Linked DNA regions of Saccharomyces cerevisiae S288C. The gene in region 1 interacts genetically with each later gene. Each region holds a gene or a part of one and is shown in the gene's direction. Other genes may lie near its edges.

Evidence for each region.
Region 2: mutations in IRE1 (region 1) and ERV25 together harm fitness more than expected from each alone (negative genetic interaction), as found in Saccharomyces cerevisiae (5 studies listed by BioGRID, with this or other methods).
Region 3: mutations in IRE1 (region 1) and LAS21 together harm fitness more than expected from each alone (negative genetic interaction), as found in Saccharomyces cerevisiae (5 studies listed by BioGRID, with this or other methods).
Region 4: mutations in IRE1 (region 1) and ALG9 together harm fitness more than expected from each alone (negative genetic interaction), as found in Saccharomyces cerevisiae (6 studies listed by BioGRID, with this or other methods).

The regions. Positions count from the first base shown.
Region 1 is NC_001140.6:256,360-265,637, reverse strand, and holds IRE1 (bifunctional endoribonuclease/protein kinase IRE1), read left to right. Parts: upstream 1-4,046; coding exon 4,047-7,394; downstream 7,395-9,278. Other genes in the region: LAM4 (Lam4p), read left to right, coding at 1-2,837; SAE3 (Sae3p), read left to right, coding at 3,085-3,197, 3,284-3,446; YHR078W (uncharacterized protein), read right to left, coding at 7,620-9,278. UniProt on the Saccharomyces cerevisiae protein: Senses unfolded proteins in the lumen of the endoplasmic reticulum via its N-terminal domain which leads to enzyme auto-activation.
Region 2 is NC_001145.3:244,527-250,870, forward strand, and holds ERV25 (Erv25p), read left to right. Parts: upstream 1-1,589; coding exon 1,590-2,225; downstream 2,226-6,344. Other genes in the region: UBX2 (Ubx2p), read left to right, coding at 1-1,377; RAD33 (Rad33p), read right to left, coding at 2,369-2,902; transcription elongation factor SPT5, read left to right, coding at 3,151-6,342.
Region 3 is NC_001142.9:315,608-323,895, forward strand, and holds LAS21 (mannose-ethanolamine phosphotransferase LAS21), read left to right. Parts: upstream 1-1,676; coding exon 1,677-4,169; downstream 4,170-8,288. Other genes in the region: mitochondrial 54S ribosomal protein bL17m MRPL8, read right to left, coding at 152-868; COA3 (Coa3p), read left to right, coding at 1,116-1,373; linker nucleoporin NUP82, read left to right, coding at 4,409-6,550; BNA3 (kynurenine--oxoglutarate transaminase), read left to right, coding at 7,779-8,288. UniProt on the Saccharomyces cerevisiae protein: Ethanolamine phosphate transferase involved in glycosylphosphatidylinositol-anchor biosynthesis. Transfers ethanolamine phosphate to the GPI second mannose.
Region 4 is NC_001146.8:235,496-242,932, reverse strand, and holds ALG9 (dolichyl-P-Man:Man(6)GlcNAc(2)-PP-dolichol alpha-1,2-mannosyltransferase), read left to right. Parts: upstream 1-5,269; coding exon 5,270-6,937; downstream 6,938-7,437. Other genes in the region: DNA-binding transcription factor RAP1, read right to left, coding at 1-1,244; PPN2 (putative serine/threonine-protein phosphatase), read right to left, coding at 1,622-2,602; ssDNA-dependent ATPase MGS1, read right to left, coding at 2,932-4,695; ADE12 (adenylosuccinate synthase), read right to left, coding at 7,219-7,437. UniProt on the Saccharomyces cerevisiae protein: Mannosyltransferase that operates in the biosynthetic pathway of dolichol-linked oligosaccharides, the glycan precursors employed in protein asparagine (N)-glycosylation.

The DNA.
Region 1 (9,278 bases):
CAATGATTAGCGCAATGGCAGATAAACAAAACACCAGTAGCGACGTTTTACAAGATTGTAAAAAAAGATTGTCCTTCAACTCCTCTAATGGCCTAACGAATAACGACCCGGAGTATGAAGACCGCGAACCTAGGGAAATGTCCAAGAAGTTTCTTAACAGGAGGTCATTTTCCCCCGGAAGCATTAGCATGGGAATGAAAGTACTACCTTCGACGGCACTGAAATATTCGCTAAACAAAGTAAAAAACAGCACTGATATTGCATCGACCATCATACCGAGACCTAGTATGTCCAACGGTCGTCCATCTTCGGGATTGAGGAGAAGTTCTAGTAAAAGCTTTTCATCTACCCCCGTAAATATCATTGAGCCATCGGAGGAAAATGGTAGACAATCCAGCATTAGAATAAAGGGAGTCGAATACGCGAGCGAAAAGAAAGATGCAGAATTCCATGCAATATTCAAGGACTCTGGTGTCAGCCCCAATGAAAGGTTGATTTTAGACCATAGTTGTGCTTTGTCAAGAGATATCCTTTTGCAAGGCAGAATGTATATTTCTGATCAACATATTGGATTTTATTCGAACATCCTTGGTTGGGTAAGTACCGTTTTTATACCGTTCAAGACAATCGTTCAAATAGAGAAAAGGGCCACAGCAGGAATATTCCCTAATGGGATCGTTATAGACACTTTACACACAAAATACACGTTTGCCTCTTTCACTTCAAGAGATGCTACATATGATTTAATTACTGAAGTATGGAATCAAATAATTTTGGGAAAGAGGTTTCGTAGCAACAGTAATAACACTAATAGCAGCTCCAATTCTATCAGTGATGATGAAAATGACGATTACGATGATGATTACGATGATTATGGAGATGATGATGACGATCTTTACGATAATAGCAATAACATATCTGATTCTACCGACATGACATCAAGCGTCAGCATAGGAAAGCCGGAAGATTTACCCATGCCTCTACAAACAGACACCCCTTATGGAACAGGAATTCCACCACTAGGTCCAAAAATTCACTCACCCACAGAAACAGTATACAAACCAGCGCCCAATGAAAAATTAGTTAACGAATCAACAATACACGCTTCGTTAGGGCGGGTTGTCAATATATTATTCGGGAAAGATGTCAGTTATATTATGGCCATTTTAAAAGCGCAAAAGAATAGTGATATTTCGCCAATCCCTGTTCTCGTTGATTCACCCACGGTTTCTGAAGGTAAAAAGAGAGATTATTCCTACGTAAAAACAACACCAGGTGCCATTGGACCCGGTAAAACTAAATGCATGATAACTGAAACCATTCAACACTTTAACTTAGAGGAGTATGTTCAAGTCTTGCAAACAACAAAAACTCCGGATGTTCCTTCTGGAAATTCATTTTATGTGAGAACAGTTTATCTTTTATCATGGGCAAACAACAATGAAACAAAACTAAAACTGTATGTCTCTGTTGAATGGACAGGTAAAAGCTTGATCAAAAGTCCTATTGAAAAGGGTACATTTGATGGTGTAACGGATGCAACAAAGATATTGGTGGAGGAGCTTGGTAATATTTTAACAAGATCTGCTACCAAAAGGAAAAGGTCTTCGAAGGAGAACACTGTTACAGTATCAACTTTACCGAAAATGGAACCTAGCTCACATGCACCTACCGAGCCTGATATTCAAAAGGATAAGGATGACTCTATTATAAGGGAAAATGAGAATATACCAGCTCCATTAGGGACCGTGGTCCAATTGCTATTTGGATCGAATACAGAGTATATGCAGAAAGTTATCACTAGAGATAAGAATAATGTCAATGTGGAAACGATACCAAAATTCACGCCTTCGTTGGTTGAAGGAGGTTCAAGACACTATGAGTACACGAAGAAATTGAACAATTCTATCGGACCTAAGCAAACAAAATGTTTACTAACCGAGTCTATTGAACACATGGATATCAATAACTATGTTTTGGTGACACAAACAACTAAAACTCCAGACGTCCCCTCTGGTAGCAATTTTGCAGTAGAAAGTAAAATCTTTCTATTCTGGGGGCAGCATGACACCACGAATATGACCGTTATAACAAAAATCAACTGGACAAGTAAATCATTTTTGAAAGGTGCAATTGAGAAAGGATCTGTTGAGGGTCAGAAGGTTTCTGTCGATTACATGCTATCCGAGTTAAGAGACATTATTAGCAGGGCAAAAAGCAAAAAACCGGTGAAGAAAGTAATGAAGAGTCATGATAAACATAGGCCTTTCCATAGTAAGGTTGAACAGAAAAGTTCCGAAAGCCGTAAGAGCGATGATAATAAAGACATTTTAACTCATATTTTGGATTTCGTTCAGAATAATTTTAGTTCAGAAATTTTTATGAACAAATTGCTGAGTCCTCAAAAACTATTCTTGATCTTGGGGTTGACCATTATGCTTTTCTGGTCTCCTCGGCTTCACGTGTTTCAAGAAAAAAATAATCTTCAAATCATCAAGCCAGGAAGGCTGCTGATTGATGGTCAAGAATATAATTACGTGCCCAGTTTCGGCACACTGTATAACTCATATGAAAACGCCATATCATCTAAGAAGAAGAGAGAAAATGTAAATTACGCAAGGGATAAGAGTCCTATTGTAGGAAGGGAAAGCGATATTTGGGATTGGATCAGTAACAGAGGGAGTGCAATATCACCTCGAGGTCGTGCTATGTTGAGAAACGATGACGAACACAAATTGCAGCAATTATCAGAAAGTATCAAAATAACAGAAATGCAACTAAATCATATGAAAACTATGTTGGACAACATTGAGAGGGACGCAAATGATCTATCTTAATAGCATTTTATATATTCTGTTTGTATTATTTAGTAATTGTATCTAGTACATATCCTGTAGCGGTTGGCCTGATTCCTTTTAAGTTAGATGACAGGCACACTTTGCATTATCACATCAGACGGAATTGTTCTGCCTAATGGCGGCTATTCTATTTCTGCTTCATAAATGCAAAGACAGAGTATAAGAATAATTTTAAATTAAAAGCAATGGTCTTATCCTTGCCATAAACAGAAGACAACTTGCAAGTATGAACTATTTGGAAACACAGTTAAATAAAAAGCAAAAACAGATACAGGAATACGAAAGTATGAATGGCAACCTGATAAAGATGTTTGAGCAATTGTCTAAAGAAAAGAAAAAGTATGTAGCTATTTTTTCCAGTCGGCAAAAATCGGTATAACAAACAAAAAATATTTAGTTTCTGTTATTAACAGAACTTGTCAAAGTGATGAGACACCAAAAAAAATTTCCTCGACGTACATTAAAGAGTTAAAGGAGTACAACGAATTGAGAGATGCCGGTTTAAGGTTGGCCCAAATAATTGCTGATGAAAAGCAATGCAAAATTAAGGATGTTTTTGAAGAGATCGGTTATTCAATGAAGGACTAATGGGCTTTTAGGGACAGTTCTATTCTTCCAACGTGCGAAGCGTTCCAATGAAACTCTGCTGCGCGCTGAAAACTATATAAAAAAAAAAAAAGATAAAATTACAAAGAAGTAATGAACTTAAATGCTATTATACAGTTACTAATTAAGCTGCGTAGTGTGAAATATATTGATAGTTGTAGTTTTGAGGTTTTATTACCCTCTGTTATATAATAGGTTTTCGCTATTTTATTGCCGAAAATCAAGACGGAGCGTAAGCCTCTTCGGGCAATACCTTCGACTATTCCAACAATAAAATTTAAAAAAAGAGATTAATCACATAGTAACAAGAAATAAACGAAAAACATATCATAGGAGATCAATGAGCCAACTTCACATAAACTAACAGTGAAAAGTCTATAACAATATTAATTTTACACAATTAAATCTACACTATAACTGGCACTGTTAATAATCGGTAATCTGCTAAGTAACTTTTTTTTCTCATTCACAAAGCATCGTTTTCCTCTTCCCCACGTCCATTATCACTTTTCTCCATATCACCCTTCATACACATTAAAAAAACAGCATATCTGAGGAATTAATATTTTAGCACTTTGAAAAATGCGTCTACTTCGAAGAAACATGTTAGTATTGACACTGCTCGTTTGTGTGTTTTCATCCATCATTTCATGCTCAATCCCATTGTCGTCTCGCACCTCAAGGCGGCAGATAGTGGAAGATGAAGTTGCCTCCACTAAAAAGCTCAATTTCAACTATGGTGTGGATAAAAATATAAACTCGCCCATTCCTGCTCCAAGAACCACTGAAGGTTTACCAAATATGAAACTCAGCTCATATCCAACTCCTAACTTATTGAATACTGCTGATAATCGACGTGCTAACAAAAAAGGACGTAGGGCTGCCAATTCTATAAGTGTACCCTATTTGGAGAATCGTTCCTTGAACGAACTGAGTTTATCAGATATACTAATCGCAGCCGACGTTGAGGGTGGACTTCATGCTGTAGATAGAAGAAATGGTCATATCATATGGTCAATCGAACCAGAAAATTTTCAACCTCTGATAGAAATACAAGAACCTTCGAGGTTAGAAACATATGAAACGTTGATTATAGAACCTTTCGGTGATGGGAACATTTACTACTTTAACGCCCATCAAGGGTTACAAAAACTGCCTTTATCCATACGACAACTTGTATCAACTTCCCCGCTGCACTTGAAAACAAATATTGTGGTTAATGACTCTGGAAAAATTGTTGAAGATGAAAAGGTCTACACTGGATCGATGAGAACTATAATGTATACTATAAACATGTTGAATGGTGAAATTATATCAGCGTTCGGACCTGGTTCAAAAAACGGGTATTTCGGGAGCCAGAGTGTGGATTGCTCACCTGAGGAGAAGATAAAACTTCAGGAATGTGAAAATATGATTGTAATAGGCAAAACTATTTTTGAGCTGGGAATTCACTCTTATGATGGAGCAAGCTACAATGTCACTTACTCTACATGGCAGCAAAATGTTTTAGATGTTCCCCTAGCGCTTCAGAATACATTTTCAAAGGACGGCATGTGCATAGCGCCTTTCCGTGATAAATCATTGCTAGCAAGCGATTTAGATTTTAGAATTGCTAGATGGGTTTCTCCGACATTCCCCGGAATTATTGTTGGGCTTTTCGATGTGTTTAATGATCTCCGCACCAATGAAAATATACTGGTACCGCATCCCTTTAATCCTGGTGATCATGAAAGTATATCGAGTAACAAAGTTTACTTGGATCAGACTTCGAACCTCTCCTGGTTTGCATTATCTAGTCAGAATTTTCCATCTTTAGTCGAATCAGCTCCCATATCAAGATACGCTTCCAGTGACCGTTGGAGGGTGTCTTCAATTTTTGAAGATGAGACTTTATTCAAGAACGCAATCATGGGTGTTCATCAGATATATAATAATGAATATGATCACCTTTATGAAAACTATGAAAAAACGAATAGTTTGGACACTACGCACAAATATCCACCTCTGATGATTGATTCGTCCGTTGATACAACCGATTTACATCAGAATAACGAGATGAATTCACTAAAGGAATACATGTCACCAGAAGACCTTGAGGCATATAGAAAAAAGATACACGAGCAAATATCGAGAGAATTAGATGAAAAGAACCAAAATTCTTTGCTACTGAAGTTTGGAAGTCTAGTATATCGAATTATAGAGACTGGAGTATTTCTGTTGTTATTTCTCATTTTTTGTGCAATACTACAAAGATTCAAAATTTTGCCGCCACTATATGTATTATTATCCAAAATTGGATTTATGCCTGAAAAGGAAATCCCCATAGTTGAGTCGAAATCGCTAAATTGTCCCTCTTCATCGGAAAATGTAACCAAGCCATTCGATATGAAATCAGGGAAGCAAGTTGTTTTTGAAGGTGCTGTGAACGATGGAAGTCTAAAATCTGAAAAAGATAACGATGATGCTGATGAAGATGATGAAAAATCACTAGATTTAACCACAGAAAAGAAGAAGAGGAAAAGAGGTTCGAGAGGAGGCAAAAAGGGCCGAAAATCACGCATTGCAAATATACCAAACTTTGAGCAATCTTTAAAAAATTTGGTAGTATCCGAAAAAATTTTAGGTTACGGTTCATCAGGAACAGTAGTTTTTCAGGGAAGTTTTCAAGGAAGACCTGTTGCGGTAAAGAGAATGTTAATTGATTTTTGTGACATAGCTTTAATGGAAATAAAACTTTTGACTGAAAGCGATGATCACCCTAACGTCATACGATACTACTGTTCAGAAACAACAGACAGATTTTTGTATATTGCTTTAGAGCTCTGCAATTTGAACCTTCAAGATTTGGTGGAGTCTAAGAATGTATCAGATGAAAACCTGAAATTACAGAAAGAGTATAATCCAATTTCGTTATTGAGACAAATAGCGTCCGGGGTAGCACATTTACATTCTTTAAAGATTATCCATCGAGATTTAAAGCCTCAAAATATTCTCGTTTCTACTTCGAGTAGGTTTACTGCCGATCAGCAAACAGGAGCAGAAAATCTTCGAATTTTGATATCAGACTTTGGTCTTTGCAAAAAACTAGACTCTGGTCAGTCTTCATTTAGAACAAATTTGAATAACCCTTCTGGCACAAGTGGTTGGAGGGCCCCAGAGCTGCTTGAAGAATCAAACAATTTGCAGTGCCAAGTCGAAACGGAACACTCTTCTAGTAGGCATACAGTAGTTTCATCTGATTCTTTTTATGATCCGTTCACCAAGAGGAGGCTAACAAGATCTATTGATATTTTTTCTATGGGATGTGTATTCTATTATATCCTATCCAAAGGGAAGCATCCATTTGGAGATAAATATTCACGTGAAAGCAATATCATAAGAGGAATATTCAGTCTTGATGAAATGAAATGTCTACATGATAGATCCTTAATTGCAGAAGCTACAGATCTGATCTCCCAAATGATTGATCACGATCCGTTAAAAAGACCTACTGCTATGAAAGTTCTAAGGCATCCGTTGTTTTGGCCAAAGTCGAAAAAATTGGAGTTCCTTTTAAAAGTTAGTGATAGGCTTGAAATTGAAAACAGAGACCCTCCAAGTGCCCTGTTAATGAAATTTGACGCCGGTTCTGACTTTGTAATACCCAGTGGAGATTGGACTGTCAAGTTTGATAAAACATTCATGGACAACCTTGAAAGGTACAGAAAATACCATTCATCAAAGTTAATGGATCTATTAAGAGCACTTAGGAATAAATATCATCATTTTATGGATTTACCTGAAGATATAGCAGAACTAATGGGGCCGGTACCCGATGGATTTTACGATTACTTCACCAAGCGTTTTCCAAACCTATTAATAGGTGTTTATATGATTGTCAAGGAAAATTTAAGTGACGATCAAATTTTACGTGAATTTTTGTATTCATAACATGTTCATGCCCCTCTGCTTCTTCTTGGTTGATTATTGCATTAATGTTACTTTGATCATTAGTAGTAACCATCCATAATTTTTACGCCCTTGCATAAATGAAAAAAAGTTGTACTTCTTCATGAACCTATACTACTTTTCTCATCCCTACATAAACTACCCGACAGACATTTAATTTTATAAATACATATCTCATAAACATCGAACATCGACATACTACTCCAGTTATTCAACACTGACTTTTTTGGTGGAAAGCTTTCGTTCTGCAATTCTTATGCAAATAAAGGTAAACACACATGCAAAAGCGTAGACTTCATCAAACCAAGAATCTATGACAATGTTTGGGACGGTAAACTTTCCACCCAATAGCTCCTTTAATCTTTGTGATACTTCAAAAGGGAGATGGGACCTAACCATTAGCGTTGTAGCCAAAACGTAGACGCCAGTCAACTCTGACACCACCAGATTTTTTATCAAAGATATTCCTTTTTGTTCCTGAGAATAGTTTCTCTTTTTTCCCTTATAGGAAGAGTTATTGGTGTACTCTGGAAGTACATTAGCAGTGTCATCATTCTGCATGGCGAAAAGTGCAAGAATCTGGAACTTTATGGGCAAAAGGGTCACAACGTAGGAGATGGTGGTATTGACAGCAGAAAGACAGCAAAGAAAGAGAGAAATTGACAAAAATAACGATATCTGTTTTGTTAACGAATCGAGATCGTGCTGGTAATTGAACCTGAAAAACGAAAAATCCAAAATATTTGCTATCGTAATGGCTAAAGGATCGGATGCTGCATTTTCACTAAAATTTTCATAATCGTAGTCATCTGGATATTTGAGCGAGTGGTATATGATATAGGGGATTCTTTTCAGGAAAGTTATTATTAGTTTATGAAGACAGTATATGATAAACCCGACTTCAAAAGCTTTCTTAAAAGTGCGTACCTGAGGGGACTGTTGTAATAATGCTTCCAATTTCCCAAGCTCCAGTTGATACCAGGCGATTTTTTCCATCAACTCTGCTTTAAAAGTTGAGTTTTCTCCGACCTCTTCTTCTAAACTTCTTAATATTTGTACATTTTGTTCAATGTTGTGTTCATAATCTTGGATTTTTTCCTCTATATAGGCGTCTGTTGTCCATAAGAGAGATTTACTGTTATTGTTGCTGTTGTTGATGTTTCTAAAACTGGGGTCTGACATTGGTGTATTACGAAACTTGTGCCAGATGACTAAAAAGTTGTAGTATAAACTAGAAACAGTGGCTAACCCAGATAGGGAAGCCATGACTGTGACGCCTCCGATGGACAATCTAGTTAGAATATTTTTTGTGTACTGGAACGGTCCAATATTTATGTAACTTAACAGCGCAATAAGTGTGGACAAGATTATGCATGTCACTATTATCAACCTATCGATATCGAACTTGTCATTGTAGAATTTATTCAGTAACGATATTATAATGAAAAAGGGCTGAAATAAAATTAGTATGAAGGATAGCATGATTGCAGTCAGAGGCCACACCCAAGTCGTTATGAAAGTAACTTCCTTGTCCATTCCAGCAACCTTAATCTGCCATAGAATAATCTCTATGGTTACTGTATACGTCATCATTGCTAATGAAAAAAGGACTCGCAGTGATTGCAGTACCTTATGTGAGGGTAAAGAATACTCTGTGTAGAATTTATTTATGAAATTACCCATACTAGACACATCCTCATTCGAGCCAACTTCCATTTTGCTTGCCAACGGAATGACATTTTTCTTCGAGGAAGTTGATATAATGTCAAACAAAGACCCTACTTTAAACCAGAGCCTTTCATAGGAGCATTTGTAAGCAAATGCTCCGGATACGGAAAGCACTATAAATACGATAAGTGCCTCCAT
Region 2 (6,344 bases), on another chromosome or scaffold:
ATGTTTGAATCTTTTAGTTATGATGGTAACCCCTTTCTTTTTATTTTACTGTTGATCCCTCGGATAATCAATAGGTTATCTGCCACAATATTCACGTTCTTTTGCACTCTATTGTCCCTGCATTCGATAAGTGGTGGCGGTAATTCAGGAAAACCCAAGATCTCCAAGGTTCCAAAGGCACCAACCAGAGAAACCCATATCCCACTTGCAGAAATACTGGGTGACACGAAGGACAAGGATGCATTTTGCGAACTAAAAAGCTTTAAACCAGACATTTCCTTCAATGAGGCCTTGCGTATTGCAAAAGAAGAGTTTAAGTTTATGTTGCTCATCCTAGTGGGCGACACCTACGATACCGATACTGATACCGTAGATGTTAATTCTAAACTACTATTGGAAAAGATTTTGTTAAACAAGAAGACTTTACAGTACTTGCGCAAGATTGATAACGACCTGATTATCTATTTGAAATGCGTACACGAGTTGGAACCTTGGCTGGTTGCTCGCCAACTAGGTGTCAGAAACACCCCGGAGATATTCCTCATTGCCAACGTGGCTAATAAGGCTTCCCATTCAGAAACTTTGCCCTCACAAAGACTCTCCATTCTCGGCAAGCTAAAGGTCAATTCACTGAACAGATTCTTGCAGTCGTTAACAAACGTGGTGGAAAAGTACACTCCAGAATTAGTTGTTAATAAAACTGAAATGCACGAGCTACGCATGTCAAGAGAAATAAAAAAACTGCAGGAGGATGCGTACAAAAAGTCGCTAGAAATGGACAGAATCAAAGCTATAGAAAAGGAAAAGAGCTTGAAACACGCTCAGGATTTGAAATTAAACTCAACTGCTCGGCAATTAAAATGGTTAAAGGCTTGCATCGATGAGATACAGCCGTTCGAGACAACGGGGAAGCAAGCTACTCTGCAATTTAGGACTTCTAGTGGCAAAAGATTCGTCAAGAAGTTCCCCTCCATGACTACACTTTACCAAATCTACCAATCCATTGGGTGTCACATATACCTCGCGGTATATTCTAGTGACCCCGCAGAATGGTCTAACGCCCTCCAGGACAAAATCAGGCAATTATCTGCAGACGACGATATGCTCTGCTTTAAAGAAGGACAACTCGAAACTGCTACTGCTACCACTATCGAAGAGCTCGGCCACATCATCAACAACGAGCTTACCTCATTTGATCTCGAACGTGGTAAACTTGAATTCGACTTTGAATTGGTATCGCCCTTCCCTAAGTATACTGTGCATCCTAACGAGCACATGTCGGTGGACCAAGTGCCCCAGCTATGGCCAAATGGCAGTCTTCTAGTGGAAGCACTGGATGAAGAAGATGAAGAAGATGAGGAAAATGAAGAACAATGATAAAATAGCATATCGTTAAAAACGACAAACGCGTACAAAGAGTTTCTGGAGTTTACTTTTTTTTCATTTTTCGTTTTTACTCTTTCGTCTCCCTAATGATTTTGGCCAACCGTTGGTTGTTACGTGTTATATGTTTGTTTTAGGAGCTGGGGCCTACCTTTATAGTTAGTTGTATAACTCAGTTGATCTCATAAGTGAAAAGCAAAAAAAGGATGCAGGTGTTACAGTTATGGTTGACAACTTTGATCTCTTTGGTGGTGGCAGTGCAGGGATTACATTTCGACATTGCAGCATCTACAGATCCAGAACAGGTTTGTATTCGTGATTTTGTCACTGAAGGTCAATTGGTTGTCGCGGATATTCACTCAGATGGTTCTGTTGGTGATGGACAGAAACTAAACCTCTTCGTGCGTGATTCAGTTGGAAACGAGTATCGTAGAAAGAGGGACTTTGCAGGCGACGTTCGTGTTGCGTTTACTGCTCCATCCTCCACGGCATTCGACGTTTGTTTTGAAAATCAGGCTCAGTATCGTGGCCGTTCTTTAAGCAGGGCCATTGAATTGGACATTGAGAGTGGTGCTGAAGCTCGTGACTGGAACAAGATCAGTGCCAACGAAAAATTGAAACCTATAGAAGTGGAGTTGCGTAGAGTGGAGGAAATTACCGACGAAATTGTCGACGAATTGACTTACTTGAAAAACAGAGAGGAGAGATTAAGAGACACCAATGAATCTACCAACAGAAGGGTAAGAAATTTCTCAATTTTGGTTATTATTGTCTTGTCCTCGCTGGGTGTTTGGCAAGTCAACTATTTGAAGAACTACTTCAAAACGAAACATATCATTTAAGCAAAGGAAGAGGACCACACCATGCATTTGTGTATCAGCTTACCCTATAATTGCATATGTACTCGACTATTTTCTACATATATATGAATAGATTCCAGAACCGAATAAAGGAGAAAAAATATTTGAATATGGATTTGTTCGCTTCACATCTTTAAGTAACCTAGTTTTCCCAATACGCAACCAAAGTCCAAGTATGTCATGAAAAGCCTCTTGCCATCAGTAGCACAACTAATCATTTCAATGGTCCCAGAACTTTGGTCAGCCCCGATGAGATTGGAGATTTTTTGAAGGTCTTTTACGCTTAATACATGATCTCTTAAGGCCACTTGCGGGAAATCCACGTCTCTGCCACAGTTTCTAATAAGCATCGACCATAAATCATCTATTACTGTTAAATTATTCATCAGTATCAGTAACTGGCATGTGCATCGTACCAGTTTCGTGAAATCTATTACGTCAGTTCCTTCTATAATGACGTCTTCATTTCTCACCAGTTTCCAAATTGTGGGCTCTAGTTGCAAATCCTTGAAGAACCTTGGTAGTTCATTAACGGTCATATCATGGTCCAGACTGGATTCCGCATATTTTTCCAGAATTTCATCTTCAACTTCGATAGGTACTTTCGGGTTCTCGAATAGCTCTACTCTTTCATAACTAACGTTAGTGGATTTGCTCATTGAAAAAAAACTCGGAAGGTATTTAGGTGACCTTGCGGCTTCTTAATGCTGACACCTGCATGCGTAATTGTTATTATATATATATATGATAGTATATTTCATACTTGTTCCTTCTAAAGGTGACCCGCCTGATATGCGACATAGAAAAAAATTTGGATGAACATGTTCAAAGATTGGTAGCATTGACAAGAACCATTCATACAAGTAGGTAACAGCAGAAGGAAAGAGGAACGGGTGTTGTGATAATTATGAGTGACAACTCGGACACAAACGTGAGCATGCAGGACCATGATCAACAATTTGCTGATCCCGTAGTGGTTCCGCAGTCAACTGACACTAAAGATGAAAATACTAGTGACAAAGATACTGTTGATAGTGGCAATGTGACCACAACGGAAAGTACAGAACGTGCAGAAAGTACAAGCAATATTCCCCCTTTAGATGGGGAAGAAAAAGAAGCAAAATCTGAGCCACAGCAACCTGAGGATAATGCAGAAACGGCGGCCACAGAGCAGGTTTCATCTAGTAACGGGCCTGCTACAGATGATGCCCAAGCAACTTTGAATACGGATTCATCCGAAGCAAATGAAATTGTCAAGAAGGAAGAGGGCTCTGATGAAAGGAAGAGACCTCGCGAAGAGGACACCAAAAACAGTGATGGTGATACCAAAGATGAGGGCGATAACAAAGATGAAGACGATGATGAAGACGACGATGACGATGATGATGATGAGGACGATGACGATGAAGCCCCAACTAAAAGGCGTCGTCAGGAGAGGAACAGATTCTTGGATATTGAAGCTGAGGTTAGTGATGATGAAGATGAAGATGAAGATGAAGAGGATTCAGAGTTGGTTCGTGAAGGTTTCATTACCCATGGTGATGATGAAGATGACGAAGCAAGTGCTCCAGGCGCAAGAAGAGACGATAGATTACATAGACAACTGGACCAAGATTTGAACAAGACTTCAGAAGAAGACGCTCAAAGGTTAGCGAAAGAATTAAGGGAGCGTTACGGTAGAAGCAGCTCCAAGCAATACCGTGCTGCTGCTCAAGATGGTTACGTGCCCCAGAGGTTTCTCCTACCAAGTGTTGATACAGCTACCATTTGGGGTGTGCGCTGCAGACCAGGTAAAGAAAAGGAATTGATTCGTAAGTTATTAAAAAAAAAATTCAATTTGGATAGGGCGATGGGTAAGAAAAAACTGAAAATTTTATCCATTTTCCAAAGGGATAATTACACAGGAAGAATCTATATCGAAGCCCCTAAGCAATCCGTTATTGAAAAATTTTGTAATGGTGTTCCAGATATTTATATTTCTCAAAAATTGCTAATTCCTGTCCAAGAATTACCTCTATTACTAAAACCAAACAAATCTGATGATGTTGCTTTGGAAGAAGGTAGCTACGTTCGTATTAAGAGAGGGATCTATAAGGGTGACTTAGCTATGGTCGACCAAATTAGTGAGAATAATTTAGAAGTTATGCTGAAAATTGTTCCTCGTCTGGATTATGGTAAATTCGACGAAATTGATCCAACAACACAGCAACGTAAATCCAGAAGACCAACTTTTGCTCATAGAGCACCACCGCAATTATTTAATCCAACAATGGCTCTAAGATTAGACCAAGCTAACCTGTACAAAAGGGATGATCGCCACTTTACTTATAAGAATGAAGATTATATCGATGGTTATCTGTATAAGTCCTTCAGAATTCAACATGTGGAAACCAAAAATATTCAGCCAACTGTGGAGGAATTGGCAAGATTCGGTTCCAAAGAGGGCGCGGTAGATCTAACATCAGTTTCACAATCAATCAAGAAGGCTCAAGCTGCAAAGGTCACTTTCCAGCCAGGTGATCGTATCGAAGTTCTAAATGGTGAACAACGTGGTTCCAAGGGTATTGTAACAAGAACCACGAAAGATATTGCTACTATCAAACTAAATGGCTTTACAACGCCTCTAGAATTTCCTATCTCTACTCTGAGGAAAATTTTCGAACCTGGTGATCACGTTACTGTCATCAATGGTGAACATCAAGGTGATGCTGGTTTAGTTCTTATGGTAGAGCAAGGTCAAGTGACATTTATGTCAACTCAAACAAGCAGAGAAGTTACCATTACAGCAAATAATCTGTCCAAATCCATCGACACTACAGCTACATCAAGTGAATATGCGCTACATGACATAGTCGAATTGAGTGCTAAAAATGTTGCTTGTATTATTCAAGCTGGCCACGATATCTTCAAGGTTATTGATGAAACTGGTAAAGTGTCGACAATTACGAAGGGGTCTATCTTGAGTAAAATAAATACTGCTCGTGCACGCGTTTCTAGTGTCGATGCAAATGGTAATGAAATCAAAATTGGTGATACCATAGTAGAGAAAGTAGGTTCACGCAGAGAAGGTCAGGTCCTGTACATACAAACACAACAAATTTTTGTTGTTTCAAAGAAGATTGTTGAAAATGCAGGGGTTTTTGTTGTTAACCCTAGTAACGTTGAGGCCGTGGCATCCAAGGACAATATGTTAAGTAACAAAATGGATCTAAGTAAAATGAATCCAGAAATCATTTCTAAAATGGGACCTCCATCATCTAAGACATTCCAACAACCCATCCAGTCCAGAGGAGGTCGTGAAGTTGCACTCGGCAAAACAGTAAGAATTCGTTCTGCTGGTTACAAGGGTCAATTAGGTATTGTGAAAGATGTGAATGGTGATAAAGCTACTGTCGAATTACACTCGAAGAACAAACACATTACAATTGACAAGCATAAGTTAACATATTACAACCGTGAGGGAGGTGAAGGTATCACGTATGATGAATTGGTTAATAGACGTGGTAGAGTTCCACAGGCCAGAATGGGCCCAAGTTACGTCAGTGCCCCAAGAAACATGGCCACTGGCGGTATTGCAGCAGGTGCTGCGGCTACCTCTTCTGGTCTTAGCGGTGGTATGACACCAGGATGGAGCTCCTTCGATGGTGGCAAAACACCAGCTGTAAATGCGCATGGAGGCTCAGGTGGTGGCGGTGTCTCCTCATGGGGTGGTGCTTCCACTTGGGGTGGCCAAGGTAATGGAGGTGCATCCGCTTGGGGCGGTGCTGGCGGCGGTGCCTCAGCTTGGGGCGGCCAAGGTACTGGTGCTACTTCTACTTGGGGTGGTGCTTCAGCCTGGGGTAACAAATCAAGTTGGGGCGGTGCATCCACTTGGGCGTCGGGTGGTGAATCTAATGGTGCCATGTCTACTTGGGGTGGTACCGGTGATAGGTCAGCCTACGGCGGGGCTTCCACCTGGGGAGGAAATAACAATAATAAAAGTACAAGAGATGGCGGAGCTTCTGCATGGGGTAACCAAGACGATGGAAATAGGTCTGCTTGGAACAACCAAGGAAATAAGTCAAACTATGGTGGTAACAGTACATGGGGAGGTCATTAATC
Region 3 (8,288 bases), on another chromosome or scaffold:
GTTTCTTCTGTTTTGTTTCTCTTACATTTTTCATTTTTTTCTCTAGTTGGAAAAAAAAAAAAACACTATATTAGAATACGCACATTGTTAGCGCTGTTCTTTCAATTGTCATCTATATATTTACAAGGGAATACACAAAATCCTGGTTTTTTTAAGGTCTGGGAACCATGACATAGGAGGAGGGTTTCTTCGTCTTCTTTGGCAATGACGAAGAGTAGACCTCCTTCAAAAGTGCCTGCGTCCTTTCGTTTTCGAGTGCCTCATCATAGGGAAGGGACATTTCCTTGAGTAAGACCTGCTTGATGAGCATAATTTCACCATGTAGCTGCGCTTCTGCTTTAAACTTGGCCACTTTGTGAAGATTCTGCAATGTGAGTGGGTTATGAGGTAGCTGGTTGGCGTCATCGTTGATGACTGACTTGACTAACAGCCACATCTTTAAATTGCCCCTGTTCACCGTATGCGATTCGGACATCACGGGAGAGTCGACTAGTTCCAAGACGGATTGCGGCGCTGAGTCGTTAGCCCTAGGCTCTAACCGCAGCACACGCGTGTACCCACCGGGCCTTTCCAAGTACCGCGGTGCGATCTCGCTGAACAACCGCTTCATCAACTTTCTGTTGTCTCCTGCTAAAAACAATTGGCTCTGAATTTGGGACTTTAATTCCGCCTGTGCAACACTATTACTTGTCGTTATTGCCCTCTTTGTCCAGGTAATGATCCGCTCTGCGACCCTGGAAGCCTCTTTACATTTGGCATGCGTTGACACTATAGATTCATGCTGAAACAACTGGCACGCAAGGTTTTTTAGCAGCGCATCCCTATGCGCCTTGTCCCTAGAGAGTTTCCTAGCAATACCCACTGTCATTGTTGCGCTCGACTGTGCTTCTCACCGTTTTTTCTCCTTGGCGTAGCCAAATCTCTTGACCGTTATAAGCTGTTTTAGCTTGTCAAATCCCACTTGTTCTTGTTAACCAACTTTTCCCGCCTCGTACGCGGTGACAGACAAAGCAGTGATTTTTGCTCATTGTATAAAGGGAGTCTTTACTATGGTGGCATAAGCAACAATACTACGTGAGCAGCAACGAAAGCACATATATAGACGACAAAGTAGTATGGTTTTGAATCCGTCCAAGTACCAAGACACCCGCACGTGGAAGATGACGCCTGCCATGATCAGGGCCCGTAAACCCTTTTTCAAAGGCAATATGCTCGGTCTCACGCTGCTGCTGGGTGTCACGGGCTCTGTTTACTACTACACATATCATTTTCTGCACAAGGACAACGACTTTGCAGACGTGCCCATTCCACCCATCGATCCGCAGGAGCTCGAGGCTCTCAAAAAGGAGTACGAAGCCAAGAAGAAGGCATGAAAAGACCGTTAATGTGGAGGTACGCTGTGGTCTTCCATCAATAGGCTTTGCGCTGTTCTTCTCTCCTCTTTTGTAAATAGTTTACCTACTTGCGTATATGTATATATATATATATATAGATATGCTTATACGGATATATACATACATTCTGTTTGTTTATACTCTTTGTCCTACTCTAACAGCCAGCTCTTTAGTTTAAGAATATGATGAAAAACTCAGTTTGGGAAAAAAAAGGAAAATGTTAAAGTATAAACAATATCGAAATAAGTTCATCTACCACGCACACTTCACCAAGTTAGCAAGATGAACTTGAAGCAGTTCACGTGCCTATCATGCGCTCAATTACTCGCTATTCTGCTCTTTATCTTTGCTTTTTTCCCTAGAAAAATCGTGCTGACAGGTATATCAAAGCAAGATCCGGATCAAGACCGTGATCTCCAGCGCGATAGGCCCTTCCAGAAATTGGTGTTTGTGATCATTGATGCTCTCAGATCAGACTTTCTTTTTGATTCGCAGATTTCCCACTTCAACAACGTGCACCAATGGCTCAATACGGGCGAAGCATGGGGTTACACGTCATTTGCTAATCCGCCTACCGTGACGCTGCCTAGACTCAAAAGTATTACTACGGGATCTACACCTAGCTTCATTGACTTGCTGCTGAATGTAGCCCAGGACATAGATTCCAACGATCTTTCGGAGCACGATTCCTGGCTGCAGCAGTTCATCCAACATAATAACACGATTCGTTTCATGGGCGATGACACCTGGCTGAAACTGTTCCCACAGCAATGGTTTGACTTCGCTGACCCGACACACTCGTTCTTTGTCAGTGATTTCACTCAAGTCGATAATAATGTGACGAGGAACTTGCCCGGGAAATTATTTCAGGAATGGGCCCAGTGGGACGTGGCTATCCTGCATTACTTGGGTCTTGACCATATCGGGCATAAAGATGGCCCGCATTCAAAGTTTATGGCTGCTAAACATCAAGAAATGGACAGCATTCTGAAGTCAATATATGATGAAGTGTTGGAACATGAAGATGACGATGATACACTGATTTGTGTTCTTGGCGACCATGGAATGAACGAACTGGGCAACCATGGTGGCTCTTCAGCCGGCGAAACATCAGCAGGATTGTTGTTTTTGTCACCTAAGCTGGCGCAATTTGCTAGGCCAGAATCGCAAGTAAACTACACATTGCCCATCAACGCTAGTCCGGACTGGAATTTCCAGTATTTAGAGACTGTTCAACAAATTGATATCGTCCCCACCATAGCAGCACTGTTTGGTATGCCAATCCCCATGAACAGTGTTGGGATAATAATACCTGACTTTTTACAACTGTTGCCCAATAAGTTGGCAAGTATGAAAGAAAATTTTATGCATTTGTGGAAATTATCAGACCATCACGGCGAGGTTGCTCTTGACGATTTCACTGCCGAAGATATTTATACAAAGATGTACACTATTCAAGAAACGTTAACCAAGTCTGCAACAAATTATAATTATCCTCTTTTGACACTGGCTTTTGTTGGTTTCCTCATAATAACAATCATCGCCATTTATGTATTATTACGTTATTCTGGGCCTGATTTTTGGCAGTTGCGCGTTTCTTCCCTGTCTGTTCTGTTAGTTTCCATTATACTAGGCGTTTCCACATTTGCAAGTAGTTTCATTGAAGAGGAGCACCAACTGTGGTGGTGGATAGTAACTGCATTCTCGGCGGTCCCTCTGTTCGTATACCGATTGAATGTGCTCATAATCGTGCGCTGGTTTATAATGATGGCATGCGTACGCTCAATCAAGTTTTGGAATAACAGTGGCCAGAAATTCATTTATTCTAACGTTATGTCCAATCTACTTAATCAGAATCCTTCCTGGAAGTGGTGCTTAAATATGTTGACATTTCTAGTGCTGATAATGGCATCTGCTGGTTTTCAAGTACTACATTTTATTGTCACTACTATTTTGGTGGGGTTGTGTTTCACGTACAAAATCTCGTGGGAAATCGTCAATGGTAACCAGGCAGAAATACCGCTCTTTATGCATGATTTACTGGCTAAGATAGACTTTGCACCAACTGAAAGTAACTTGATTGTACTTGCGCGCGTTTTCTTCCAAGCTTGGGCTATTGTTGTCATTTCAAGGTTGGTCCTGACGAAATTGAAAGTACTTAACAAGAACTACCTCATTAAAGATATGAAAGTTTATATAACAATTCTTTTGATGTTCCAAACTTCTTCTCAGAACATAGGTCAATTTCTCGTTTTCCAAATATTAGAGTCCCAAATTTTTTACTTTTTCCAAAATATTCCAACCGCCTCATTAACATCAACAAGTAAGATTTATTTTTCGAATTTGGTGTCCTTAATTTTACAAAATTTTACATTTTTCCAATTCGGTGGCACAAATTCCATTTCTACTATAGACCTTGGAAACGCATACCATGGTGTTTCCTCAGACTACAACATCTACGTAGTGGGGATATTAATGTCCGTTGCCAATTTCGCGCCGGCAATATACTGGTCCATGCTACCGTGGTCAATAAACTACGCCTCTATTCCAGCACAAGTTAAGTTGCAAACGTTCATCAGAAGTAAGTTACCTGCCTTCACCTATCATTGTATATTTGGAACTTGTTTGATGACGGCATGCGTCGTTTTGAGATTTCATCTCTTTATTTGGTCCGTTTTCAGTCCAAAATTATGTTATTTTCTTGGGTGGAATTTTGTGATGGGATTGCTGAATGGCTGGTTACCTGAATTGGCCCTCCTTTGCGCTCTTGATTAACATAGAATTGTTCACGTGGTCTAAATATGTATACATATATGATAGTTTATAGATTCATACTGAGACAAGTGAAAAAAAAAAAATCTACTATCGACCTTCTCTCTTTTCGCGGCAGCAAAAATGAAAAATTAACTTCAATAAAAAAGTTGAATACTTTCAAATATTCTAATTGCATTTAATATTTAAGCAACAAAAGGACAGCGATAATTGAGTGGTGGCTTAATTCTATACTCCAAAGTATGTCCCAATCTAGTAGGTTAAGTGCACTTCCTATTTTCCAAGCATCGCTTTCGGCAAGCCAATCTCCACGTTACATTTTTAGTTCTCAGAATGGCACAAGGATTGTTTTCATTCAAGATAACATAATAAGGTGGTACAATGTACTCACTGATTCACTTTACCACAGTTTGAACTTTAGTCGTCATCTCGTCTTGGATGATACCTTCCATGTAATATCTAGTACGTCTGGTGACCTACTCTGTCTTTTCAATGACAACGAGATTTTTGTAATGGAAGTTCCTTGGGGCTATTCCAACGTTGAAGACGTTTCCATTCAAGATGCATTCCAAATTTTCCACTATTCAATTGATGAAGAAGAAGTTGGTCCGAAATCGTCCATTAAGAAAGTTTTGTTTCATCCAAAGAGTTATCGTGATTCTTGTATAGTGGTTTTGAAAGAGGATGACACTATCACGATGTTTGACATCCTTAATTCGCAAGAAAAGCCTATCGTTTTGAACAAACCGAACAACTCCTTTGGTTTAGATGCACGTGTTAACGACATCACAGATTTAGAATTCAGTAAGGACGGATTGACGTTATATTGTCTAAACACCACAGAAGGCGGTGATATCTTTGCATTTTATCCATTTTTACCGTCAGTATTACTGTTAAATGAGAAAGATCTCAACTTGATCCTAAACAAATCTTTAGTAATGTACGAGTCCCTGGATTCTACAACAGATGTTATAGTTAAAAGGAATGTTATTAAGCAGTTACAGTTTGTGTCAAAACTGCATGAAAATTGGAATTCAAGATTTGGCAAAGTCGACATACAAAAGGAATATCGTTTAGCCAAGGTTCAAGGACCATTCACGATAAACCCCTTTCCCGGCGAGCTGTATGACTATACTGCTACAAATATTGCAACCATACTAATTGATAATGGGCAAAATGAAATTGTTTGTGTCAGTTTTGATGATGGGTCTTTAATCTTACTCTTCAAAGATTTGGAAATGTCAATGTCGTGGGATGTTGACAATTACGTGTATAATAATTCTTTGGTTCTAATTGAACGAGTCAAACTACAAAGAGAAATTAAGTCTCTAATAACGTTACCTGAACAGTTGGGAAAACTTTATGTCATTTCCGATAATATTATACAACAAGTAAATTTTATGAGCTGGGCTTCTACATTGAGTAAATGTATCAACGAATCGGATTTGAATCCACTTGCAGGATTGAAATTTGAAAGTAAACTTGAGGATATTGCCACCATAGAAAGAATTCCAAACCTAGCGTATATCAACTGGAATGACCAATCTAATTTAGCCTTGATGTCGAATAAAACATTGACTTTTCAAAATATTTCAAGCGATATGAAACCGCAAAGCACCGCAGCTGAAACAAGTATCAGTACAGAAAAAAGTGACACGGTAGGAGATGGTTTTAAAATGAGTTTCACACAGCCCATAAATGAGATTCTTATTTTGAACGATAATTTTCAAAAAGCCTGTATTAGTCCATGTGAACGAATTATCCCATCAGCAGACCGCCAGATACCTTTAAAAAACGAAGCTAGTGAAAATCAGTTGGAAATTTTCACGGATATTTCCAAAGAATTTTTGCAAAGAATTGTTAAAGCTCAAACTTTGGGTGTTTCTATCCACAATAGAATTCATGAGCAACAGTTCGAATTGACGCGCCAACTACAATCGACATGCAAAATAATTTCAAAGGATGATGATTTAAGGAGAAAATTCGAAGCACAAAATAAGAAATGGGATGCACAACTAAGCAGACAGTCAGAATTAATGGAGAGATTTAGTAAATTGAGCAAGAAGCTATCTCAAATCGCCGAATCCAATAAATTTAAAGAAAAGAAAATAAGCCATGGTGAGATGAAATGGTTCAAAGAGATACGAAACCAAATATTGCAATTCAACAGCTTTGTTCACTCTCAAAAATCCCTTCAACAAGATTTATCGTACTTGAAGAGTGAACTAACTCGTATCGAGGCAGAAACTATCAAAGTCGATAAAAAGAGCCAAAACGAATGGGATGAGCTACGCAAAATGCTTGAAATAGATTCAAAGATAATTAAAGAATGCAATGAAGAATTGTTACAAGTTTCTCAGGAATTTACTACTAAAACTCAATGAGTAAGCGACTTGCATAGTCTGCTATCATATATGTACGCTAAGAAACAACTGGGCAATGGTATAATATCATGTAGCAAGAGGACATTATATATGAATTGGTCAATATATAAAGCCTTCTGTGCACCAAATCGTTAGGATGATTTTTCAGTATGCTGTATCATTGTATCGTATATTCATTCGTATCTCTTTTACCTCACTAACCGCTGCCAAAATTTACATGTATACAAAATAAAAGTCTTTTTTATGACCTTATTTGGTGAGTAATGCTACTTTTGTAAAGAGTGATGGAAACTATTATTCCAAAGGGTTAGAAGAAGGTGAGGAATACGTTCATATCACCGCTACAGATCGTGTCTCTCGGTTATGAGTAATCAAACCCTCTGCAAGCAACACAGTTACTTTTTTTCGGTTTTTTCTTTTCGTGTGAATTTTTATCCAGTGAGTTTCCTTGTTCACTTTCGAGAATGGAAGGCTGATTTCGAATTTTTATATTCAACAACTGTATTTGTATTAGGCTTTGCAATAGTAGATGAAAAGTGCAGAAGACGAATCTGCTACCCTCACAATACAAAGAAAAACAAAATCGTCATTTTAATATAGGAAGACACCGCTCAGGTAATTCAATATTGAATCTGGTTGCACTTTTCTTACGATGTAAATACCCACAAACTTCTTGTACGGTGAGCGTCTGACAACGAAATCAATTTACGGAGCAAGGATTTTGACAGTAGAGCAGATTGTTTTGAGTAGGATTTAGGAATCAAGACCTCCATCTTTGTCGCATTATTCCTAAATGTAACGTAACTCGTTTGATAAGAGAATGTCTAATCGAAGAGAGTTAATAACTTAATAAGCTCTTTAAAAGAACGATGGCATTTATCGTCTCCTATGCCAAGATAATTACTGGCTCAAAATTGTTCAGCGTTCATAAAACTTTGATATCACTTTCTGGCGCACAAGCTAACCTTTATGTAGTTCTTACGTAGATTCTTTTTAGCAAGTGCCTGGTAGTGGTTATTACATAAATGTATCTTTTCATTTGATAACAATTTCTTCAGTAGCATGTCGTGTCTAGCACGTGACGTAGAACTGTGGCTTTTTTGTTGTCATTATGACAATCAAGATACCAAAATTCAGTCATGTTTAAAAGGGGAAGGTACGATAGAGATATATATAAAGTGTTCAATTTACTATAATTGCGTATAGAATCCATTGTTACTTGCTCTCAATGAAACAACGATTCATTCGTCAATTTACGAACCTAATGTCTACTTCGAGACCGAAAGTTGTTGCCAACAAATATTTCACTTCTAACACTGCCAAAGATGTTTGGTCGCTAACCAATGAAGCCGCTGCAAAAGCTGCCAATAACTCCAAAAACCAAGGCCGTGAACTTATTAATTTAGGCCAAGGCTTTTTTTCATATTCCCCTCCTCAATTCGCCATTAAGGAGGCTCAGAAAGCCCTAGACATTCCAATGGTCAATCAATATTCTCCAACTAGAGGTCGACCTTCATTAATTAATTCCTTGATTAAGTTGTATTCTCCTATTTATAACACAGAATTGAAAGCGGAAAATGTTACCGTAACAACAGGTGCCAATGAAGGTATACTTTCTTGCTTGATGGGGCTTTTGAACGCTGGCGACGAGGTTATTGTTTTTGAACCTTTCTTTGACCAATATATTCCAAATATCGAACTTTGCGGTGGTAAAGTTGTTTACGTCCCCATAAATCCT
Region 4 (7,437 bases), on another chromosome or scaffold:
AGTCTTTTGGAAAGATAGACTCTAAATCGGTGCCTAATAGAATTACCCGTGTGGTTAGGCACATAATGGGATATTTCATCGTAAAGAGTATGTGTTGTACGCCTGGTTGGATTTTTTCTCACAACATCCAAAATAAACTCATCTTCCTCATCTGTAAAAGAAGCTTTATTGTGGGAGGGCAAAGCGCCTCTCGAAATCATGGACCTTTGTGCTTGAAAAGATGCATTCCCCTCATCTGCTGTTTGAGGGTTGTTGTCCTGTGTCAAAAGATCATTGTCTTCGTCGTTGACGTTGCTATTATTATTATTGGAGGTATCTTTTTGAGGTTGTTCGATCTGGACCAAGTCATTGTGCCCTCCGCTTGTGATTGATGCGGTGCTGCTTACATGTTGACGAAGGAGCTGAGCTTGCTCTTGTAATCTAGCTTGTTGTTCAGCGTCTACCATAACTTTTTCGCTGGTTGAGTCTTCCGTAGCGCCATTAGTATTCGTAGAGATTATTTCTGTTTTGGGCCTGATAGAATCCTTGTTATCGCTATTGCTATTGCTATTATCTACACCATTAGAATGCGATTCCTCCTGCAACCTACTATCGACAACTTCTCTAAAGTTATCGTATGGTACTAAATAATTTTCCATGTTCAGTAGCGAGTTGCTTTGACAACATGCCTTAATATAAGTCGGAGTTACCGTTGGTAAATTGGTATGATTATAGGGTGACACGATGAAAACATTCTCTTTTGATTCTCTTGGCTTGGAGTCTAGCACTTCACCACCGTTTGCTCTAATCAGACGCGCTAATTGATCAATATCATTTAAAGAGTCATGCGCATCCGCGTCGCGATTAAGATAGAATTTCATATTTGACAGAGGAGGACCACTTACTTGTTCCTTTTTCTCATCAGCAGCGGTGTCATCAGTAGTAGGTTCAGTAACAGATGCACCTGATGTCGAAGCAATGTTAGCGGTAGCAGCAGTATCAGCAATGGAAGGCGTGGTAGTTGTTACACCGACTTCAGTGGTATCATCATCATCTTTCTTTTCGACCTCCGTCTGATCCACTTTCTCACTAGTTTCAGCAGCAGTAGCACCAGTGTTTTCTTCGTTTTGATTAGCTTTTACCTCAGCGGCTGAATCCGATGGCGCTGTGACTGCAGCAGAACCACTGTCAACAACGACCATACTCGGATCCAATGCATCAACATATTCTGCTGGTGCAGTTTCAAAATCATCTGGACTAGACATATTGAGATAATCTGTACGCAAATAGTGTCTTATGTAGGGCGGTTGCGTATACAACGGTTTGTGTTTACTACCTTTTGGGCTATGGGTTTGTTTTGTTTAAAACGTGTATTGATGGTGTTTAGGTGCTGGATGTTGGGTGTTGAAGAAATGATTGCGGTTGTCTGTTTTCGGTTTTGTTTTCTTTTCTCGCTAAATTTTAAAACTTCAACAACGAAGAAGAGGCGGGTAGCGGCCATTGGGCAAGAATACTTGTAGCTCCAGCGAAAGTTTCATTGAAATTTAAGATTCAGTATTATGAGTTACATAATAATATTCATATCTTTTTCATATAGTACATTATATAAAATCTGTTGCGCTTTTAAGTAGTACTTTTTGTTTTAAGAGCATTGTACTTGAATTAATTCATAGTCATATTGCCCCTTCTTAATATCGTACTTCACTTTCATAGATGAAAGCAGATTGTTCTTTATACATGCTGTGTCCAAACCTTTGGTCTGTCTCCGTAGGTTTAGTCCCATGGATGCATCGTGCCCGTAAAATACTTTGGCGTTACTAAAGTGGTCTCCGTATTTGTCCCACAGTGTGTACCATCTCACATAATTCTTGTTTTCCTTTTCACGTGATGTTTTTGACCAGTTCTTCTTATCAACGTACTTCATGTTTGACAGAGAGCTCACGCCCGGAATTTGGTTGGGCTTCATGAAGTCTCCCGGAACCATCCCTGCATGTGCACCAAAGAGTATATCACCGGTAATATCCAGATCTAGTTCTATGGCCATAGAACAATGTTCCGCTAGCTGACTTAATTTGGAAAACCCAAGTTCGCGAGCTAACCGTCCATGTGCGTTGCTGATTTTAGAGATGTCTTGTGGTATGAAATTAGTCTCCGTACTGAAAGTTAAAGGTGTCATTAATTTGGGGCGTCTTACCCATTTCGAGAAGTCTGGGTTTAAATAGGCCATCATGACCAATATTTCATGATTGCCCAAAACGCACTTGACTTGATCCTTGTGATTTAGAATATACGACACGACCTTGTCTGAGTCCGGGCCCTTGTGAATAAAGTCACCCAGCAATATCATTGTTATATTTTCTCCTAGTCCTCCAATCTTGTCATCAATGAGTTCTATGAACTCATCATAGTTACCATGAACGTCACCAACAAAAACGTACTCCTTATTTAAATCTGTTACATGCTCAATTTTCTTCAAGGTGCTAATTGTAGGCAATAAGGAAACTGGTGGAGACAACCGAGGGTTATCAAACTTGAATATATATAGTGTATAAACGCAGCATGCCACAAATAATATCAATGCTGTACTAAGTGTAGCGGCTCGTCTTTTCCGCTTATCTTCCATTTTTGCGTATCTATGCTCCTCAAGCCTGGCTCATTTTACAAGCTGGAAGGTCGAGGAAAAGGAAGAACTAATTCAAGAATAATGTGCTCTTCTTATAGGATGCGTATATGTTCTAATATATCTCAGATGGGCCCGCGAGACTTTTCTAGCATGAAAAAAAAAGGTGGATCCTTGATTATCTAAAATTATAGTTTATATCGTTCATGCTGCACAAAAACGTGCCAGCAATGCAATGCGCCTCAAGCGTAAAAAAACAAGCGGCATTGGCCAACAGAGAAAAAAATATGAATTGTAGACGCGGCATTGAGAGAAGTATGGAAGACCCTTGACTAACCCTGATATGACTGTCTCAAGTCAGGATCTTCTTTGTCTCCTAAATGTTTGCCGTCCAGGAACTTTAAGTCAGTTTTATTTGGACATTTCTCGAGCACTTCTTTGGGAAAGTAGTCTTGTTGGACTTTTCCTTCAATATAATCGGGATTGTACTTGTAGCCTTTATGATAACCCAGCTCCTCCATCAATTTGGTTGGCGCATTTCTGATATGCATCGGTATCTCACTGCTTGCTAAACTGTACATGTTCTCGCTCATCATTGCCCTTAATTTCTTCCAAGCTCTATATAGTTCTACTGACTTTGGTGCCCTAGCCAAAGCAACACAACATTGCGCCAGTGCAAGGTCTGCCTCTGGCAAACCAACTTTCATTACTGCGTCATGTGCCGCGACAGCCAAGGGCAATAATGAACTATCCCGTAATCCGATATCTTCAGAAGCTATTCGAATCATTCTTCGGGCAACATACAATGGGTCCTCTCCTCCCTGCAACATTCTTGCTAAATAGTACAGTGAGGCGTTTTCGTCCCCACCTCTAATGGATTTATGAAACGCAGAGATTGTATCATAATGGTTATCTCCCTTTGGGTCATAGTATGTATTCAACCCGTTGCTGCTGTTGTTCTTAATTATGTCTCGTACATCATCGATAGATAATTCTTCCTCGTCGGCCTTGCGCTCTCTTGTTGAAACTTCGATCATTTCCAACATATTTAACGCCCTCCTTGTATCACCCACCGACAGATCTACCACGTACTCCAGTATGCTTCTAGACAATTTCAAAGGATTTTCAATATTCCATACTTGTTTCCTGCATTTATTCAATAATGCAATTCCTCTTGATAAAACAATACACAGTTCGTTGACATTCAGCTTTTCTAGGACAAAAATCAGACATCTGCTAATGAGAGCATTGTTCAGCTGAAAACTTGGATTTTCTGTCGTTGCACCAATCAAAATAATGTCACCGTTTTCTACGTGTGGCAATAACAAATCCTGTTGAACTTTATTGAATCTGTGAATTTCATCAATAAAAAGTACAGTTCTTCTTTTGGTCAATTGATATTCCTTTTTTGATTTTTCAAATATACCTCTCAATTCTTGCGTATTTGCCTTTGTCGCACTTGTTTCGATCATGAAGTACCTGGAACCAACATTTGATTCATTACTACTGGTTGTCGCAGTTTTCGTTAATAGTCTAGCTAGTGAAGTCTTTCCTACACCTGGAGGGCCCCAGAGTATCATAGATGGTATAGTCCCTTGTTTTATGTATTTGAACAATGTACCATTATCTTGAGAGAGAATGTGCTGCTGACCTACATAATCTCTTAATTCTTTTGGCCTCAATTTTTCACTAAGTGGCAAATGGCTTATTTTCTGCAACCATCTGCTTTCGTAATCGTTGTGAAGTTGATCTCTGCTCGAAGCAGGCTCCACTATTGATTTCGCAAAATCCGTGGATGGTGCTGCCTTAAATCTTTTGCTTTCATTTTCAACAATCTCAATATCATCACTCTCGCTCTTAAGACCTGGCTTAATTTCATGGTCCTTATTTTCAAGATCAATGAATTTCTCTGAGTTAGCTTGTTTCCTCTTTTTTGGGCCTGCCAAAAGACTTGACACCGTTTGTGGCCTACTCGAAGGCTTTGACTTTTCCTTGCCACATATGTCAAGATGAGAGTTGATTAAGGAAAAAAAGACTTTTCTAGAGCAAATTGGGCATGATATGAGCTGTTCTACAGATGTCCTCTTGTTACTCATTGAGACTGTGCGATCCTGTTTCAGATCTTACCGCTAGCGTTCTTCTGCTAATAAGCTATTTTTTACCTGTCGATGACCTACCTTAAAACACGTTTCGTTTAAGACAACGCGTACAGTTTCACAAGGAAAGCAACCGATGATTGAATGTCAATTAAAAAACAAAAAACAGATGTTAATTTTAACTGGGCTCTCAATATCAAACCGTTATAGTATATGATGTATCTAAACGACCACTTATCACTTGGATATGTTGTCAAATCCGTTTTGCTCTTGCGCATGTTATACCTACTTTTTACTATCTACGGCGGGCATCCTGACCCGGCTTATTTACTTGAAAATGCAACAATAAGTCCGTTACGCAATATTGAATTTTGATGAGAACCGTTCTGCGATATTCAGAACTGTCAATACAAGCTTGAAAAAGGGACAACTGGATATACAGGGGTGTTTTTGACACAATAGAGAATACTTTTTCGTTTTTATTGTACCATTACGGCTACTCAACGAGATTTCAAAACTTTAGCTGTATCGAATTGGCTCTTTTTTCACCCTGAAGCACAATTATAAGGGAACGATGAATTGCAAGGCGGTAACCATTAGTTTATTACTGTTGTTATTTTTAACAAGAGTATATATTCAGCCGACATTCTCGTTAATTTCAGATTGCGATGAAACTTTTAATTATTGGGAACCATTAAATTTATTGGTACGTGGATTTGGTAAACAAACCTGGGAATATTCACCCGAGTATTCTATTAGATCATGGGCTTTCTTATTACCTTTTTACTGTATTCTTTATCCAGTAAACAAATTTACTGACCTAGAAAGTCATTGGAACTTTTTCATCACAAGAGCATGCTTAGGCTTTTTTAGTTTTATCATGGAATTTAAACTACATCGTGAAATTGCAGGCAGCTTGGCATTGCAAATCGCAAATATTTGGATTATTTTCCAATTGTTTAATCCGGGCTGGTTCCATGCATCTGTGGAATTATTGCCTTCTGCCGTTGCCATGTTGTTGTATGTAGGTGCCACCAGACACTCTCTACGCTATCTGTCCACTGGGTCTACTTCTAACTTTACGAAAAGTTTAGCGTACAATTTCCTGGCTAGTATACTAGGCTGGCCATTTGTTTTAATTTTAAGCTTGCCATTATGTTTACATTACCTTTTCAACCATAGAATTATTTCTACCATCAGAACCGCATTCGACTGCTGTTTGATATTTTCATTGACTGCATTTGCTGTGATTGTCACTGACAGTATATTTTACGGGAAGCTTGCTCCTGTATCATGGAACATCTTATTTTACAATGTCATTAATGCAAGTGAGGAATCTGGCCCAAATATTTTCGGGGTTGAGCCATGGTACTACTATCCACTAAATTTGTTACTGAATTTCCCACTGCCTGTGCTAGTTTTAGCTATTTTGGGAATTTTCCATTTGAGATTATGGCCATTATGGGCATCATTATTCACATGGATTGCCGTTTTCACTCAACAACCTCACAAAGAGGAAAGATTTCTCTATCCAATTTACGGGTTAATAACTTTGAGTGCAAGTATCGCCTTTTACAAAGTGTTGAATCTATTCAATAGAAAGCCGATTCTTAAAAAAGGTATAAAGTTGTCAGTTTTATTAATTGTTGCAGGCCAGGCAATGTCACGGATAGTGGCTTTGGTGAACAATTACACAGCTCCTATAGCCGTCTACGAGCAATTTTCTTCACTAAATCAAGGTGGTGTGAAGGCACCGGTAGTGAATGTATGTACGGGACGTGAATGGTATCACTTCCCAAGTTCTTTCCTGCTGCCAGATAATCATAGGCTAAAATTTGTTAAATCTGGATTTGATGGTCTTCTTCCAGGTGATTTTCCAGAGAGTGGTTCTATTTTCAAAAAGATTAGAACTTTACCTAAGGGAATGAATAACAAGAATATATATGATACCGGTAAAGAGTGGCCGATCACTAGATGTGATTATTTTATTGACATCGTCGCCCCAATAAATTTAACAAAAGACGTTTTCAACCCTCTACATCTGATGGATAACTGGAATAAGCTGGCATGTGCTGCATTCATCGACGGTGAAAATTCTAAGATTTTGGGTAGAGCATTTTACGTACCGGAGCCAATCAACCGAATCATGCAAATAGTTTTACCAAAACAATGGAATCAAGTGTACGGTGTTCGTTACATTGATTACTGTTTGTTTGAAAAACCAACTGAGACTACTAATTGATATACAGGTTCTCTAAAACAAGCAGCAAAAAAAAAAAAAGCCTGCTTACTACTTGTTTTGAGCGTTTTTTCTTATCAATAGTTTTAACATTTTTCCACGTAAATATATATATATCTATATGTTTTTATGCATTTTATAAAAAAAATATGTTTGTTCATTACTCTTTCATTTTTTCATTGAAAACTTTTAAAAAATGTCATGATTAGTTACATTTCGTATATATAAAACTATAAAACTGTGAAAAGAAATTAAATTGAAGTTTGTCATGGATGTCCAACGCCCTATTTAATTTCTTTATGCAACATGCTTTCTCTTGCGGGGCCGGTACCAACCCATTCAACAGGAACGCCAACAAAATCTTCAATATATTTTAAGTACTTCTTTGCGTTTTCCGGCAAATCTTCATACTTTGTAATTTTGGTAATATCTTGATCCCAACCTGGCAAAACTTTGTATTCAACTTCAACTTTACCAAGAATATTCAAGTCTTCAGGGAACAA